Saccharomyces cerevisiae S288C: one gene and its partners. The gene in region 1 interacts genetically with each later gene. Each region holds a gene or a part of one and is shown in the gene's direction. Other genes may lie near its edges.

The links.
Region 2: mutations in CHL1 (region 1) and RAD27 impair growth when combined (synthetic growth defect), as found in Saccharomyces cerevisiae (8 studies listed by BioGRID, with this or other methods).
Region 3: mutations in CHL1 (region 1) and ELG1 together harm fitness more than expected from each alone (negative genetic interaction), as found in Saccharomyces cerevisiae (10 studies listed by BioGRID, with this or other methods).
Region 4: mutations in CHL1 (region 1) and MCM21 together harm fitness more than expected from each alone (negative genetic interaction), as found in Saccharomyces cerevisiae (6 studies listed by BioGRID, with this or other methods).

What each region holds. Positions count from the first base shown.
Region 1 is NC_001148.4:537,783-542,470, forward strand, and holds CHL1 (DNA helicase), read left to right. Parts: upstream 1-1,602; coding exon 1,603-4,188; downstream 4,189-4,688. Other genes in the region: RQC2 (Rqc2p), read right to left, coding at 1-1,154; transcription factor TFIIIC subunit TFC8, read right to left, coding at 4,300-4,688.
Region 2 is NC_001143.9:224,211-227,487, reverse strand, and holds RAD27 (multifunctional nuclease RAD27), read left to right. Parts: upstream 1-1,612; coding exon 1,613-2,761; downstream 2,762-3,277. Other genes in the region: DNA-binding protein ABF1, read right to left, coding at 1-918; DNA-(apurinic or apyrimidinic site) lyase APN1, read left to right, coding at 3,033-3,277. UniProt on the Saccharomyces cerevisiae protein: Structure-specific nuclease with 5'-flap endonuclease and 5'-3' exonuclease activities involved in DNA replication and repair.
Region 3 is NC_001147.6:602,217-606,708, reverse strand, and holds ELG1 (Elg1p), read left to right. Parts: upstream 1-1,616; coding exon 1,617-3,992; downstream 3,993-4,492. Other genes in the region: MDM32 (Mdm32p), read right to left, coding at 1-102; PNO1 (Pno1p), read left to right, coding at 538-1,362; THI80 (thiamine diphosphokinase), read left to right, coding at 4,367-4,492.
Region 4 is NC_001136.10:1,101,906-1,105,516, forward strand, and holds MCM21 (Mcm21p), read left to right. Parts: upstream 1-1,852; coding exon 1,853-1,904; intron 1,905-1,987; coding exon 1,988-3,042; downstream 3,043-3,611. Other genes in the region: HIM1 (Him1p), read left to right, coding at 279-1,523; YFT2 (Yft2p), read right to left, coding at 3,098-3,611. UniProt on the Saccharomyces cerevisiae protein: Component of the kinetochore, a multiprotein complex that assembles on centromeric DNA and attaches chromosomes to spindle microtubules, mediating chromosome segregation and sister chromatid segregation during meiosis and mitosis.

The sequences.
Region 1 (4,688 bases):
TTTAGTTCTTGGACGTCTAATAAAGCTTGTATTTTTCTATCATTTTCGGCACGAGCATCATCGATTTTCTTTTGCGCTTGCGATTCCTGATTTTGTATACGTAGAGCATACTTAGAGGATTCTATTGTTGAGAAAAATTTGTCTAGCGTCCTATTGTAAGGACCTTCAACTTCAATGATACAAGAAGAGTCAGTGTCTCCCCCATTTATATATGGCTTAAAGGGATGGAATGTATCATAAATAAATTCCAAATCGGCAGTATCTTTTTCAGAGATATAATTTTCATTTCTTTTGGCCAAAATGTAACCCTTTCTATCGGTGGTAGTTAAAAGTTGATTATATTCTAACTGAGTACTGTTTAGCAATTCGGCGAGTGAGTCTGTTTCCTCCAAAAGATTTAAACAAGACTCTGAAGGGTCGATATTGAATACCTTAAGGTTCTTTGATAATAAATCTGAAGACAAATGAGGGACTTTCGAAAGCAGCAGTTTATGGATGGAAGGTACTTTCACTTTTTTTTTTTTAGCGCCCTCCTTCCCTTGAATGTTAAGTTGCTTAATAACAGTAATGTCTGATTCATACTTGGCTTGAACTGCTTTTATCCACTCGTTGACTAGTTCAGAGGTGTATTCTGCCTTTCTGTTTTTTTCTATGGATTCATCAGCAGACTCGTTATTTGTGGTAAAAAGTGATTCGTCAAACATTTCATAAATTTGTCCGACCTTATTTTCATGCTCTAGAACGACTCTTTGCAAAGCCATAATTCTTCTGTTCTCATCTAGAAGAATGACATTCCCTGCACTGAAAAATTCCAAAACTAAATAGAAGTGGCCATCAGCAAATTGTAGAACAAGAATTCTATCCTGGTCTACTTGCTTTAAAGCTGTTAACCGTTTAGCTTTAAGATGCTTCCTTAGTTTGACAACAAAGCCGGAAGGAGTTGGAGGTATTGGCCTACTAAATTCAGTTAAGTAAATTCTTAAGCCACAATCGACAACAACATTGAGTTTAGAATCTGGTTTATTAAATTTCAGCAAAAATTGTTTTGAGGAATCGGCAATGTTATATATATTACTCAATCGGTAGCCTTCCAAATCCTGTTTCAGCTCTCTAGCCAACAGCAGTAAATCTAGGGCACTAATTCTTTGCTTCATCGCTATTAATCTCTTGCCTGCCTGACTTCTTAGACCGGATAATAAGTAGCAACTTTCTTTTCAATTTGCCATCGGATTCTTTTAAAACTATTTTTCAGGCGAAATTTCATTTTTCTATCCTTCCGCAGCATGAATGAAAAGTTCAAACGCGTCCAAATATACAATAGATATAGTGCATTAGTTAATGTCCGGAAGAGAAGTCGCAATTGTTGAAAAGGTTAAAACTCAGGCTATTTATTGAAAATCCAATTTTAATCGTAACCACAGAGTTGAGGTAGAGGCTCATTTGTTACCTGACAGTTGATGACATTATCACTGACATATTTAAATTCATCATTAGTGTAATCAGCACATGCTAAGTTGAGGGCACTACTGCAACTTCAGTTTGTTTCCTTAAAACCCAAAAGAGTAGAAAACCAGGCTAAAAACAGTCACACTAGTCCAAAAAATGGACAAAAAGGAATATTCGGAGACTTTCTATCATCCTTATAAGCCCTATGATATTCAGGTACAGTTAATGGAAACTGTATACAGAGTGCTATCCGAAGGGAAGAAAATAGCTATCCTGGAAAGCCCCACTGGGACAGGCAAGACGCTGTCCTTAATCTGTGCCACGATGACTTGGTTGAGAATGAATAAAGCAGATATTTTCACCCGCATGGAAACTAACATCAAAACGAATGAAGATGATAGTGAAAACCTAAGCGATGACGAGCCAGACTGGGTTATTGACACTTATCGAAAGTCTGTTTTACAAGAAAAGGTGGATTTGCTAAATGATTATGAGAAGCATTTAAACGAAATTAACACGACCAGTTGTAAGCAGTTGAAAACTATGTGTGATTTAGATAAAGAACATGGAAGATATAAATCAGTTGATCCATTAAGAAAGAAACGCAAAGGCGCTAGGCACCTTGATGTATCACTTGAAGAACAAGATTTTATTCCGCGCCCGTACGAATCAGATTCTGAAAACAATGATACCTCCAAAAGCACAAGAGGAGGAAGAATATCTGATAAAGATTACAAATTGAGTGAACTAAATTCACAAATAATAACACTTTTAGACAAAATTGATGGGAAGGTTTCGAGAGATCCAAACAATGGCGATCGCTTTGACGTTACAAATCAAAATCCAGTGAAAATATATTATGCATCCAGAACTTATTCACAATTAGGTCAATTTACTTCTCAGTTAAGATTACCCTCGTTCCCATCATCCTTTAGGGATAAGGTCCCAGATGAAAAGGTGAAGTACTTACCACTTGCTTCGAAAAAGCAGCTTTGTATTAATCCAAAAGTGATGAAGTGGAAAACATTGGAAGCTATTAATGACGCATGTGCGGACCTTAGACATAGTAAAGAGGGATGTATCTTTTATCAAAATACAAACGAATGGCGTCATTGTCCTGATACGTTAGCTCTCAGAGATATGATTTTTTCAGAAATTCAAGATATTGAAGATTTAGTTCCCCTGGGAAAATCTTTGGGAATTTGTCCCTATTACGCCTCGAGGGAGGCACTTCCTATTGCGGAGGTAGTGACTTTGCCATATCAATACTTACTTTCTGAGTCCACCCGTTCAAGTCTTCAAATAAACCTTGAAAATTCTATAGTAATTATTGATGAGGCTCATAATTTGATAGAAACAATAAATTCTATATATTCCTCTCAGATCTCGTTGGAGGACTTAAAGAATTGCCATAAGGGGATAGTAACTTATTTCAACAAATTTAAGTCCAGGCTCAATCCCGGTAACAGAGTAAATCTATTAAAGCTCAATTCACTTTTGATGACTCTGATTCAATTTATAGTTAAAAATTTCAAGAAGATAGGACAAGAAATAGATCCTAACGATATGTTCACAGGAAGTAACATCGATACCCTAAACATTCATAAACTATTGAGATATATAAAAGTCTCCAAAATTGCTTACAAAATTGACACGTATAACCAGGCACTAAAAGAGGAAGAATCGTCAAAAAATGAAAATCCAATAAAAGAAACGCATAAAAAATCAGTTTCTTCTCAGCCATTACTTTTCAAGGTTTCTCAATTCCTATATTGTTTGACAAATTTGACGTCAGAAGGACAATTTTTTTTTGAGAAAAATTATTCAATAAAGTACATGCTTCTAGAACCAAGTAAACCTTTTGAGTCAATACTAAATCAAGCAAAATGTGTAGTCCTTGCAGGTGGGACAATGGAACCCATGTCAGAGTTTTTGTCGAATTTGCTACCTGAAGTTCCTTCTGAAGACATTACGACCTTGTCGTGCAATCATGTTATACCGAAAGAGAATTTGCAAACTTATATCACAAACCAGCCTGAGCTTGAGTTCACATTCGAAAAAAGAATGTCTCCCTCCCTTGTAAATAATCATCTTTTTCAATTTTTTGTTGATCTGAGCAAAGCAGTTCCTAAAAAGGGTGGTATTGTAGCTTTTTTTCCAAGCTATCAGTATTTGGCGCATGTAATTCAGTGCTGGAAACAGAATGACAGGTTTGCTACATTAAATAACGTGAGGAAAATATTCTATGAAGCAAAAGACGGCGATGATATTCTATCTGGATATTCTGATTCGGTAGCAGAGGGAAGGGGGTCTCTTTTGCTGGCTATTGTTGGGGGAAAATTATCAGAGGGAATAAATTTTCAAGATGATTTATGTAGGGCTGTGGTGATGGTGGGCCTGCCGTTCCCAAATATTTTTAGTGGAGAACTAATAGTTAAAAGGAAGCATTTGGCCGCTAAAATAATGAAGTCAGGCGGAACGGAAGAGGAAGCTTCACGAGCAACAAAGGAGTTTATGGAGAATATTTGTATGAAAGCTGTCAACCAAAGTGTTGGACGTGCTATACGGCATGCAAATGATTACGCAAACATTTACTTGCTCGATGTGCGATATAATAGGCCCAATTTCCGGAAAAAATTGTCACGTTGGGTGCAAGATTCTATCAATTCCGAACATACAACACATCAGGTCATTTCTTCAACACGGAAGTTTTTTTCAATGCGCAGCCTGAATTCACGCTAAAAGGAATACGTTTACGTGTATACTGTGATTACTACTATATATTATAGTAAACTAAACTGATATTTATGACTACTTTTTATATCTGCAAGTAATTCTTTGTCTCTTGTATCCTTACATAACTTCCAGCGTTGTTCCACAATATACGCTTATTTCATTAAATCTTTCTAATAGACCCCTTGTAAACCAACCATAATCATTCAAATCATCTCGTTTTATGTCTATTACCCGTTGTTTGCTCACGGGACATATCTTTACATGCGTTGTAAGTATTGGAAGCAAAGTGACACCACACCTCTTCCACGTGTTATTCGTGGTGGATGTTACAGTTTCAGGGTCAGCCGTGAAGCTTTCTAAATTGAACGTTTCCTCGAGAAAGCTGTTCTTCATCAATAACGTGCCGTTGTAAATTGGCGCTTCTCTTTTAAGTATTGCCGCTATAGATAATACGCAAGCTAAATCAAAACTATTCGTTAATTCGGATTTTTTGTTTATAGCGTATT
Region 2 (3,277 bases), on another chromosome or scaffold:
GGATGGTGAGTGGGAGGAAATGCCGTGGCTACCGACATTGTTGTTATTGATATTGCTGTTATTGTTGTGATCGTTATTAGTATTATTATCTTGGCCATCATTGTTGTTAGTGGCATCATCGTCTTTTCCATCGTGCTTATTGTTTGATTGAGAATCTACATTTGCGACGGCATTGGCAATGGCAACGTTGATGTCTTCATCGTTCACTACGTCAGAATAGTTTTTCGTCATTTGGGTATGGACGTCATCCTCCTCGTTGTGACGGTGGTTACCGCTGTCATTACCATGAGTAGGACCGCTCTCGTCGTCCAATCCCCGGTCAATAGAGGCCTTATTTATCGAATCATCTTCAGTGTCGTTCTTGATAGTAACACCTTGCTGTTTAAAAATGTTGTTGGCATCAGCATCATCGTCATTGTTCCCATTCACCTCATTGCTTCTCGACTCCACTTTGTCATTGGTGTCGTCCGGATGAGTGTTCGCCAGATGGTATTCAAGATCATCAGTAACGAAGTCAAGTTTACTGTCATTGCTAACCTTATTATTACTGCCATTGTTATTATCATTGTCCTCGTTGTTCATGTTGTTGCTATGATGATGAATATGATCAGGAGTACCCGGAGGGTTGGTATTATTATTTGCAGAAGGAGATGAGGTTTCTGAGGATGCAGCATTGCCAGCATAGCTTAGCAAGACTTTAAATGGACAGTTTTTCAAATGACAGGCAAATGTAAAATGTTTGTTCCTATGCGAATTCTTTAAAATAATAGGGCAACGCGTCTGAAATTCGTACTCATTAATTACATCATACCAAGCACCCAAGGTGGGAAATTTTTTGCCTCCATGGGCTCCAATGGCCAGGTCTTTATTAATTATAGGGTGCTTGTATTCATAATAATTCACGACTAATTTGTCCATCCTTGTGAAATTGCAAATATGGTGATTTGAAACGTTTCCTAGTGCAGCAGGATCACAGATAACGTGTAAAGGGCTTAGCAGTTGATAATCCTCTCTAGTTGAGATCTAAACAAAATGCTGTCACTAACCGTAGTATTAAATGACACACTTTGGTGACTTTCGTTAATGGGGATGTGGTAGTGGCCATTGCCAATAAACAAAAAGAACAGGGAAAGAAGTAGAAAGTGATATAAGTTTGCTTGCCACTTTTCGTTTTTCACGAAAAAAACAGGCGAAAAAAAATGCTAGACTAGTACCCGGCTGAATCACACCTCGTTAACAGTGACTTTCGGTGACAGATACCCGATTGGGCACCCGGCTGGTAAGTTATGATAGAAAGCCAACGCTGTACTATTGGCTTAGCTATGGCAATATTTTGATTATCAACTAGTTTTATTAACGTTATAATTAGTGTAACCAGTTTTTCATCTATTTCATTTATTTCATTTATTTACTTTAATTGCAGATCCCCCTAACGCGTTTAAAGCTTTTATTCACTAGCTTATGTATTTTTTATAGGAAACGCGACGCGTAACATCGCGCAAATGAAGGTTTTGATGTATTATAATGAGGTATTCTTCCTTATATACATCGATGAAAAGCGTTGACAGCATACATTGGAAAGAAATAGGAAACGGACACCGGAAGAAAAAATATGGGTATTAAAGGTTTGAATGCAATTATATCGGAACATGTTCCCTCTGCTATCAGGAAAAGCGATATCAAGAGCTTTTTTGGCAGAAAGGTTGCCATCGATGCCTCTATGTCTCTATATCAGTTTTTAATTGCTGTAAGACAGCAAGACGGTGGGCAGTTGACCAATGAAGCCGGTGAAACAACGTCACACTTGATGGGTATGTTTTATAGGACACTGAGAATGATTGATAACGGTATCAAGCCTTGTTATGTCTTCGACGGCAAACCTCCAGATTTGAAATCTCATGAGTTGACAAAGCGGTCTTCAAGAAGGGTGGAAACAGAAAAAAAACTGGCAGAGGCAACAACAGAATTGGAAAAGATGAAGCAAGAAAGAAGATTGGTGAAGGTCTCAAAAGAGCATAATGAAGAAGCCCAAAAATTACTAGGACTAATGGGAATCCCATATATAATAGCGCCAACGGAAGCTGAGGCTCAATGTGCTGAGTTGGCAAAGAAGGGAAAGGTGTATGCCGCAGCAAGTGAAGATATGGACACACTCTGTTATAGAACACCCTTCTTGTTGAGACATTTGACTTTTTCAGAGGCCAAGAAGGAACCGATTCACGAAATAGATACTGAATTAGTTTTGAGAGGACTCGACTTGACAATAGAGCAGTTTGTTGATCTTTGCATAATGCTTGGTTGTGACTACTGTGAAAGCATCAGAGGTGTTGGTCCAGTGACAGCCTTAAAATTGATAAAAACGCATGGATCCATCGAAAAAATCGTGGAGTTTATTGAATCTGGGGAGTCAAACAACACTAAATGGAAAATCCCAGAAGACTGGCCTTACAAACAAGCAAGAATGCTGTTTCTTGACCCTGAAGTTATAGATGGTAACGAAATAAACTTGAAATGGTCGCCACCAAAGGAGAAGGAACTTATCGAGTATTTATGTGATGATAAGAAATTCAGTGAAGAAAGAGTTAAATCTGGTATATCAAGATTGAAAAAAGGCTTGAAATCTGGCATTCAGGGTAGGTTAGATGGGTTCTTCCAAGTGGTGCCTAAGACAAAGGAACAGCTGGCTGCTGCGGCGAAAAGAGCACAAGAAAATAAAAAATTGAACAAAAATAAGAATAAAGTCACAAAGGGAAGAAGATGAGGGGGTTCTTTTTCCACTTTCTTCTTTTGGTCCTTCACCTTGGCATATATGTAACATAGATATTTGTATACACGAACTTTTTTCATCTAATACTTCTCTTTTTTTGCCAGTTTTTCTGGGAACTTGAACGTGGAATTTTTCATTCTTACCTGGTTTCTTTTTCTTCATTTCTTTACATGTTGGAAATCATTGTAAATATAAGATGACAAACTCCGAATAAGAAACACAAAACGCAACATTAATAAGCTTTTGGCATATCGGAACCATCGTAATGCCTTCGACACCTAGCTTTGTTAGATCTGCTGTCTCGAAATACAAATTTGGTGCGCACATGTCAGGTGCCGGTGGAATTTCTAATAGTGTAACTAATGCATTTAACACTGGCTGTAATTCGTTTGCCATGTTTTTAAAATCTCCAAGAAAGTGGGTTTCTCCGCAGTATACACAGGAGGAAATAGATAAATTTAAGAAAAACTGTGCAACTTACAATTATAACCCATTGACGGACGTCTTACC
Region 3 (4,492 bases), on another chromosome or scaffold:
ATTAGTTGCGACGTAAGTTCGAATACAGTGTCTTACGAGATGACTTGTAATTGGAAGCAGTGGCCGCTTTATTGTAGGGACCCGTAAACGTGTGATTAGCATGAATTTTATAAACCTCCCACCACCTGATAATCTGTATGTGCCTTTTGTTTTAATACTTCTTGACGCAAATCTACTGTCAACTTTAATATGCATCCCTCCATAGTAAGTCAAGGATCAGCTAGAACCAATAACGAGAAGTAAAAAAAAGTGACAAAAAGTCAAATGTGTCTTTATACGAATTTTTTAACCTACATATGAAGAGTAAGGTCATAAATAATAAATGTAGGGCTAAATGCAGTTAAGATTACTACAGTATTAGGTCTGTTTTTTATCACCTCTTACGGAAAGTGCGAGCGGGAAAAAATTTTTCTTCTTTCCTTATTATCATACCGATGCTCATCACAATGAAAGATACATATTGCATCAATAATAGGCAGTTTTCAATATTCTTCTGTTTAGTTAAGAAAAAGACTTGAAGTGAAAATAAACTACATTATGGTTGCGCCTACTGCTTTGAAAAAGGCTACTGTGACACCTGTAAGTGGACAAGATGGGGGCAGTAGTAGAATTATAGGAATAAATAATACCGAAAGCATCGATGAGGACGATGATGACGACGTTCTGTTAGATGATTCCGACAATAACACAGCAAAAGAAGAGGTAGAGGGCGAAGAAGGTAGCCGGAAAACGCACGAATCTAAGACCGTAGTGGTTGATGACCAGGGGAAACCTCGCTTCACTTCAGCTAGCAAAACACAGGGTAACAAAATAAAATTTGAATCGAGAAAGATCATGGTTCCACCACACAGAATGACACCCTTGAGGAACAGTTGGACAAAAATTTATCCTCCTTTGGTCGAGCACTTGAAGCTGCAAGTCAGAATGAATTTAAAGACCAAATCCGTAGAACTAAGAACGAATCCTAAATTTACCACAGACCCTGGTGCGTTGCAAAAAGGGGCCGATTTTATCAAAGCCTTTACCTTAGGGTTTGATCTTGACGATTCTATCGCACTATTGAGGCTAGATGATTTATATATTGAGACTTTTGAAGTCAAAGATGTCAAGACTCTAACAGGTGACCATTTGTCGAGAGCCATCGGTCGTATTGCCGGTAAAGACGGTAAAACGAAATTTGCGATTGAAAACGCTACAAGAACAAGAATTGTCTTAGCTGACTCTAAAATCCACATTTTGGGCGGGTTCACCCACATCAGAATGGCAAGAGAATCTGTGGTTAGTTTAATTTTGGGTTCCCCTCCAGGTAAAGTTTATGGGAACTTACGTACCGTTGCATCTAGATTAAAAGAACGCTACTAAACATAATTTGTGGGCTTTCATCATCTGTATAATATTTATATGTCGTTTTATGGCGAAATAGAGTGAATAAATAGGTTTTTTTTTCCTTCTTTTTTTTAGGACGCCAAACGCGTAACGTTAGCGGTGATAAATTAGTTTAGTATTATTATCCGGCTATTTGCTTCATGTATTTAACGTCTTCACTGACCACCTTCGCTGCACTAAATCGTATGGTACCATAGCATTAAACTTTTTGAATCAGAGAAGGTTTTCCAATGAAAAGGCACGTGTCTTTATCTGATATATTGACAGGAAATAAGAGAAAAGTGAGAAGACAAGATGCTCTACAGATTACCATCGATGACGAAAATGATACTGAATCAGGCACTTTTGACGCCAGAACAGCCAAACATGACGATTCTTCAGTAATATTTTTAAACCACTCTGTTGTGAAGCCAATTGAAGCTGTTTCTACTAATCACAAATCTGCAAAGGAGTTTTTGATGACGAAACGCACAAAAGAAAAATGCGATGACGACGATGATGATCTTATTGTAATCAGTGATAAGAGTCCCAAAAGTGAGACTAATTGTAGCAAAATTGCACTTTCGCAGGAGCATGAAGATGATATTTCTATAATTTCCACATCGAGAATCAAATCATCGCTTCTTAATGAAAGAGCATCAAAGATTAAAAACTTCCTTAAACATGAGACAACCGACACGTTCAAAAGATTAAATAGCATCTCTAAACTAAATGAAATAGAGCCACCATTACCATTACATCAATCGATTTTCCCAGTAGGTGACAAAGAGCTGTCAGATCGGAGTGTTGATATCCCGCTTCCTTTCCGCACAATACCGCCATTAAATCATAATTTTCTTCCTAGTGACTATGAATCGTTGAAAGACAAGAATTCAGCATCTTGTATTCCTGTTCGCTATCAAGCACCGGTATTACTTGGCACAAATATTAAAAGAAATACAACTCTCACATGGCCGCAGCTATTCAAGCCTGTCACTTTAAAACAAGTATTAATTGAACCCAAATTGAAACTTCGAATCAAAAATTGGATTGAAACATCCTTTCATACGCTAGAAAAGCCTACCTTGAGGAACCGTCTATTGAACAGAATAAATCCCAATAAACAACAGGGATCTGGTGATGAGCTTGCCAACTTCATTGTACCTGATCTCGAAGAAGACGAAAACTTGCGTCCAGATTTCTACAGAAATGGCGAAGCAAATAGCAGCTTGAGCGAATTTGTTCCACTAATGATATTACACGGAAATTCAATAGGCAAGAAAACGCTGATACAGACAATCATGAGAGAGATTGCTGGCGACGATAATTCTTACCAGATATATGAAGTTAATTCAAACATGAACAGGAGCAAAAAAGATTTGCTTGATATCCTACTAGATTTTACCACCACACACTATGTCAAAGATTCCTCAAAAAGGAAAAGTGACTACGGGCTTGTTTTATTTAATGATGTTGATGTTTTATTTAAAGAACATGATAGGGGATATTGGGCAATGATCAGCAAGCTTTGTGAATTTTCACGAAGGCCCCTCGTATTGACTTGTAAGGATTTGTCACTAGTTCCTAGTGAACTTATTGCCTTGGCAAGTGAACAAAACTCTTTGTTTCATACTAAGAAAATTAGTACATCCACAGTCTATGCGTTTCTAACAAAATATTTAAAGTCCCTTGAAATCGAAGTTTGTGACGACTGGCTTCGCGATGTTGTAAAACAAAATAATGCGGATATTAGGAAGTGCTTGATGCACTTGCAGTTTTGGTGCGTTGATACTGAGGCTGATTTGATTTCATCCAAGAACAGACTACCGGTCCTAACATCAACTCTTGGTTCAAGCGTTAAAGATATATCGCAATTAACTGATCTACTCTCCATAAATGATGTTATTGGTCAAGCAACGCTCAATCGTTCCATGGTTAGACAAGAAATAGATTCTACCACAATGACCCCAGAAAAAGTTAATACTTTCCAGGATCAAAATCTGGATGATGAAATGAAACTAAAATTTGATTACGTGATAGATTATAAATTGCATTTAAATGACCCCAATAGACAACCGTTATTACCGTTTGAATTGAATATTTACCAACACATCCAAGAACAATTGGAAGCTCGGTATTCCTATGTTAGAGAAGCAAACCATAGGCTTGATAACGAATACCTTGTTAACAGGTTCAAAAAAATGACAGAATCTACATTAAATTTTTTGGCGTCAAGAATACCGAAGTATGACCATCTTCAGTCGGCAAGAAGGACGAGAAATTCGAAGAAAATTTCTGATATTTTGAACCAATTCAAAGGAATTTATAATGATGAAACTCTGAACGAAAATGCCGAGATTGATCTGCTGAGCGCCACAACTCAACAAATTAAAGCGGAGATCAATCCCTTCGTTTTTGAAATCGCTAAAAGTGACGCCAATGTCAAGAATGAAAACAAACAAATATTTGAGTTGCATAGTGAAAATGTATCAGAAAGACGATACAAAGATTTGGTCTATCAGTTGTCACAAGAGGGTGTCTTGAAAAACGTATGGTTCAACGCTGATCCGAGCATAGTCGTGAGAAAATGGGAGCATTTGCACTCAGGCTTTTCAAAGAACAAATAACACTGATATGAAATTGCGTGCATCGTTACAGGAACACGTATGTATAATAAATATAGCATGGTAGTGCGGGGAAATATACTACTACTTTATATATCAATAAATTCTGCAACCTTGCATTAAGCAAATGCAGCACAATCCTAAATTCCTTCTAATAGTTGCCTTTATTTCCTCATAGTGCATATTTCAAAACAGCGAAAAATGCAAAATATGCGAAAACTTGAAAAAAAATGGCTGATGGGAATTACAAATAAAGCGTGAATGATAAGGCGTTTATAAAAGATTTAGCTTCTTAAGTACTGTGGTTTTGATAAAAGCTAGAAATTTGTAGATCACAATTGGTCACAAAGAACAATAAAAAGCTGAATATCACTGCTATGAGCGAGGAGTGTATTGAAAATCCTGAACGTATTAAAATTGGTACTGATTTAATCAACATCCGAAATAAAATGAACTTAAAAGAACTAATCCATCCAAACGAGGATGAAAACTCTACCCTACTC
Region 4 (3,611 bases), on another chromosome or scaffold:
AATTCAACAGGTAAAAACTAACTTTTATATCCTTGAACTTCTTCATTTTTGTGTCTTTCATTGAAAGTATAATTTTCCTTTTTTTTTTTTGGTTTTCAATACATATAATGATGGGTGACATTTTTTGTGTCATTTAGATTAAAAGAAATTTTAAGAAAAATTGACGTATTTAATTTTGATCCGCAGTAAACGCTATAAATTCTTTTTAATATAAATGACAGCTTTTTATACATATAGACCCTTTGAAGAATATTCCAAACTAGAAAGGTTGATCAGAAATGAGTTATAGTGTCAACACGTTTACAGATTACGTTTTATTGTTTGGATCATCTAGTTTAGTAGGAAAAGGTATTTTAGAGAACCTGTTGGACATAAATTTATATATTAAAAATGTTTCGGACCTACAAGGCAAGCTTGATAGCTTAAGTGAAATAAAGGGAAATGTCGTTCTCAATAAACATGTCTTTTGTGTTAATAGAAGGTGCATCAATGAGGAGAAATCATTTATGAAGACCATTGATTATATAAATATGAGATCAGTTACTTGGCAAGGTGGCAGATATTACTTGAGAAGCAGGAAAGAAAAAGACACTGAAAAAGTACCGTCTAGTCCTAATACTTTTTGTTATGATAATTTTGAAGAAGGATTTATTAAAAATACGCCTGAAGAGAGGGGAAAAGATGGTTATTCTTTTGTTTATAATCAGAAACAGTTCAGTTACACACTACATTATGCATGCGGAAAGGAAAAAGGTATTGAGATCATTTGTAATTTTACTGTAACGCAATTGATCATCCCCAGATCTGAAACTTGGCCAAAATTGCTTCCACGGATATTCTCAGGAACACAAAAGCTGGAAAAGTTTGACATTGACAACAAAAATTACGTTCCCGGTAGAAGTTTGCCTAGTCTGTGTGATATTAGCACTATGGTGTGCTCTTTGGGCTCCACCTCAGCTAGAGTGCGGAGAACTCAGGTACCAAGTTCCTTTGCTGACTATTACTTACCTTTTAATTTAGCACAAGAATTCACGAATACAACTAACAAAAGGTTGGTGGTTACAACTGCCTTTAATAATGATTTTCTTAGTAAAACTTTCGAGTATTTTAGAATAAAAGCTAAATTAGAAAATGACTTGGATGAAGCTTTGCCAAATAAGCTAAAGGAGCTAGTTATTTTGAGGCCAGGTCCGATGTGTGGACAGCACGGAAATCCTATAAACGTTGAATTGGGTAAAGAAAACTCCACTTTCTTGGAAAAAATTTTTTATTATCCTCACTATCTTTTAGTTTATAAAAAGAAATATATCAGTGAGGCCAGAAGGATTGGCTTAAGAACAAAGTTAAGCGAAATAATTGCTTCCAGTATATATAGGATGCCAGGATCTGCATTATTAGGATACGCTGTCCCAGTTTCAAAGGTTTCTTATGTTGCCTCTTTGATGGCGATTGAAAGGAAAAGTAAAGAGGCGGGACCTAAGCTGGAAGTAATTAGCAGTTATCAAATTGATATGATTGTGTGAACAGTCAGTCTTTTCTTTTGATAGATGCGAAGTTATTAAATAAATAGTAGCCTAATACATAAAAGAACCACTATATCATGGATTCGATACCTGGGCCGTCTTAAATTTTTATCGCATTGAATATGCAAACTTTATGTATTGTTTTACTAATCGCCAGTAATGGCCGACCAATTCTATGATAGATCTTCCCTAAGTTTATAATGATGGTAAGAAAACGCGCATATTTCAAAACTGAAGAAAAAACAAACAAAAGCCATATGGATAATGAGGGGAAAATGTGATTTCTTTACTTGAGCAATTCTTTCAAACTATCAGTAACGCTCCTGGCAATGAGTAGAATCGATGATTTACAGCAGGACATTGAATCTTTACTCAGTGAAAGTATGTGATTTTGAGGCTGTAACAATTTTCTTTCTTTTAAAAAAATGATTAAGTTGAACACTAACATAGTAGAATCTTCACAGTCAATTCATTAGAAGAAAGTCGTGAGAAGCTCAAAGCGAAGATAAAAGATAAAAGAAAAAATGAGGAGAGCGCTAATCCTATAGTACAAGAATTTGAAGATCTATTCGATCAATTCCCACAGTTGAATAATTTTTTATTTAATGAGCATCCAGAATTGGAAGAGACAGATGACAAGGACATATCAAGGGCGCAAGCGGATATACCAGCAACGCCAATACCGTATGAACCAAAGAAAAGAGCTAAGCTGGAGAATGAGGAAATTTTACCAGAACAAGAATGGGTTTTAAAGACCCAGCCAATGGTTCAGCATCAAATGTTTGATCCTGGGGTGGCAGATTTATTGGATACAGACATTCTAACGTCACCTTCAAAAAGAAAGCGAAAACTAAAAATAGACGATATTAGTACAAGTGATAGAAGTGAGTTGGAAGATTATATTGTCCTGGAAAATGTTTATAGAATGTTTGGTATAACATTTTTCCCTCTTGTGGACCCTATTGACCTTAAGATAAAAGATGCTAGCGGTGAAATATTTGTTGATAGAGAAATGCTGGGAATACGACTGGAAGTCTTCAGCGAACGGACATCCCAATTTGAAAAACCTCACTATGTATTGTTGAAAAAGAGGATCAAATCGAATAGTTGGTTCCTGTTCAAGCATACAATCCCGAGTTTCATTGATGTCCAAGGTATATTTGATGACACCAATGGGGGACTAGTGATATCTCATGATGACGCCTATTTATTTGCTAAAAGAGTCTTCCTGCAACTTGTGGAAGTACAGAAAAGACGACAGATTTTTAAGGACTTAGAAGCTAAGAAGATAATCCACGACTTAGATTTAGATTTAGAATCTTCAATGGTTTCGTTTTTTGTGAAGGATATTAAAGTCGAGTTGTTTGTAAAACAAAATGAAATAGTTTCATGTTCAATATTGGACGATATTCATGATTTTAGTCAAAATAATAAAAGTAAATGGGAAATTGCATTGCTCGGTTCTTTGGATGATTTGGAATTAAAATTAAACCATTCTTTCGCGACAATATTCAAGTGAATGTTAACAAAAATATACTTTATAGAAAGAGGATAGAGCTAATTTTCTCTGTTTATCATAGATATAAGTAATTGTGTAGTATCCCAATTTTGGGTAGAATGTGGTATATGAAAACAGGGCATATGAAACCCATAAGGCAACCTAACACTTTTTCCAAGATAGTATGATAATAAATAGCGGTAACCCAGAGAATACATATCCAAATTACTAGGACAGCGCAAACAATGGCAAGGCAAGCTCGTACCCACTTATTCACAACCCAAAACATATCTTCAGCTTGAACAAATCTACTGAATAAGTGAAGTTCCATCCAAAGAATCATGCTTATACTCACAAGAAAGCAGAAGTGTCCACTAATGTCAAACCCACCATCCCATTTCCCATTTTCTAGACGGCACTTTTCAGCTGATGTCGTTTTACTACCAGAACTGCATTCTCCCCCTGTCCAAATGAAAACATGATCGATAAATTGGAAATTCAAAAACAATAATAGATATTTTAGAACGAACTTGCAAGCATATTGAGTGATCATAATACTGATTATTCTATTTTTGAGCAGAGGCCAATGG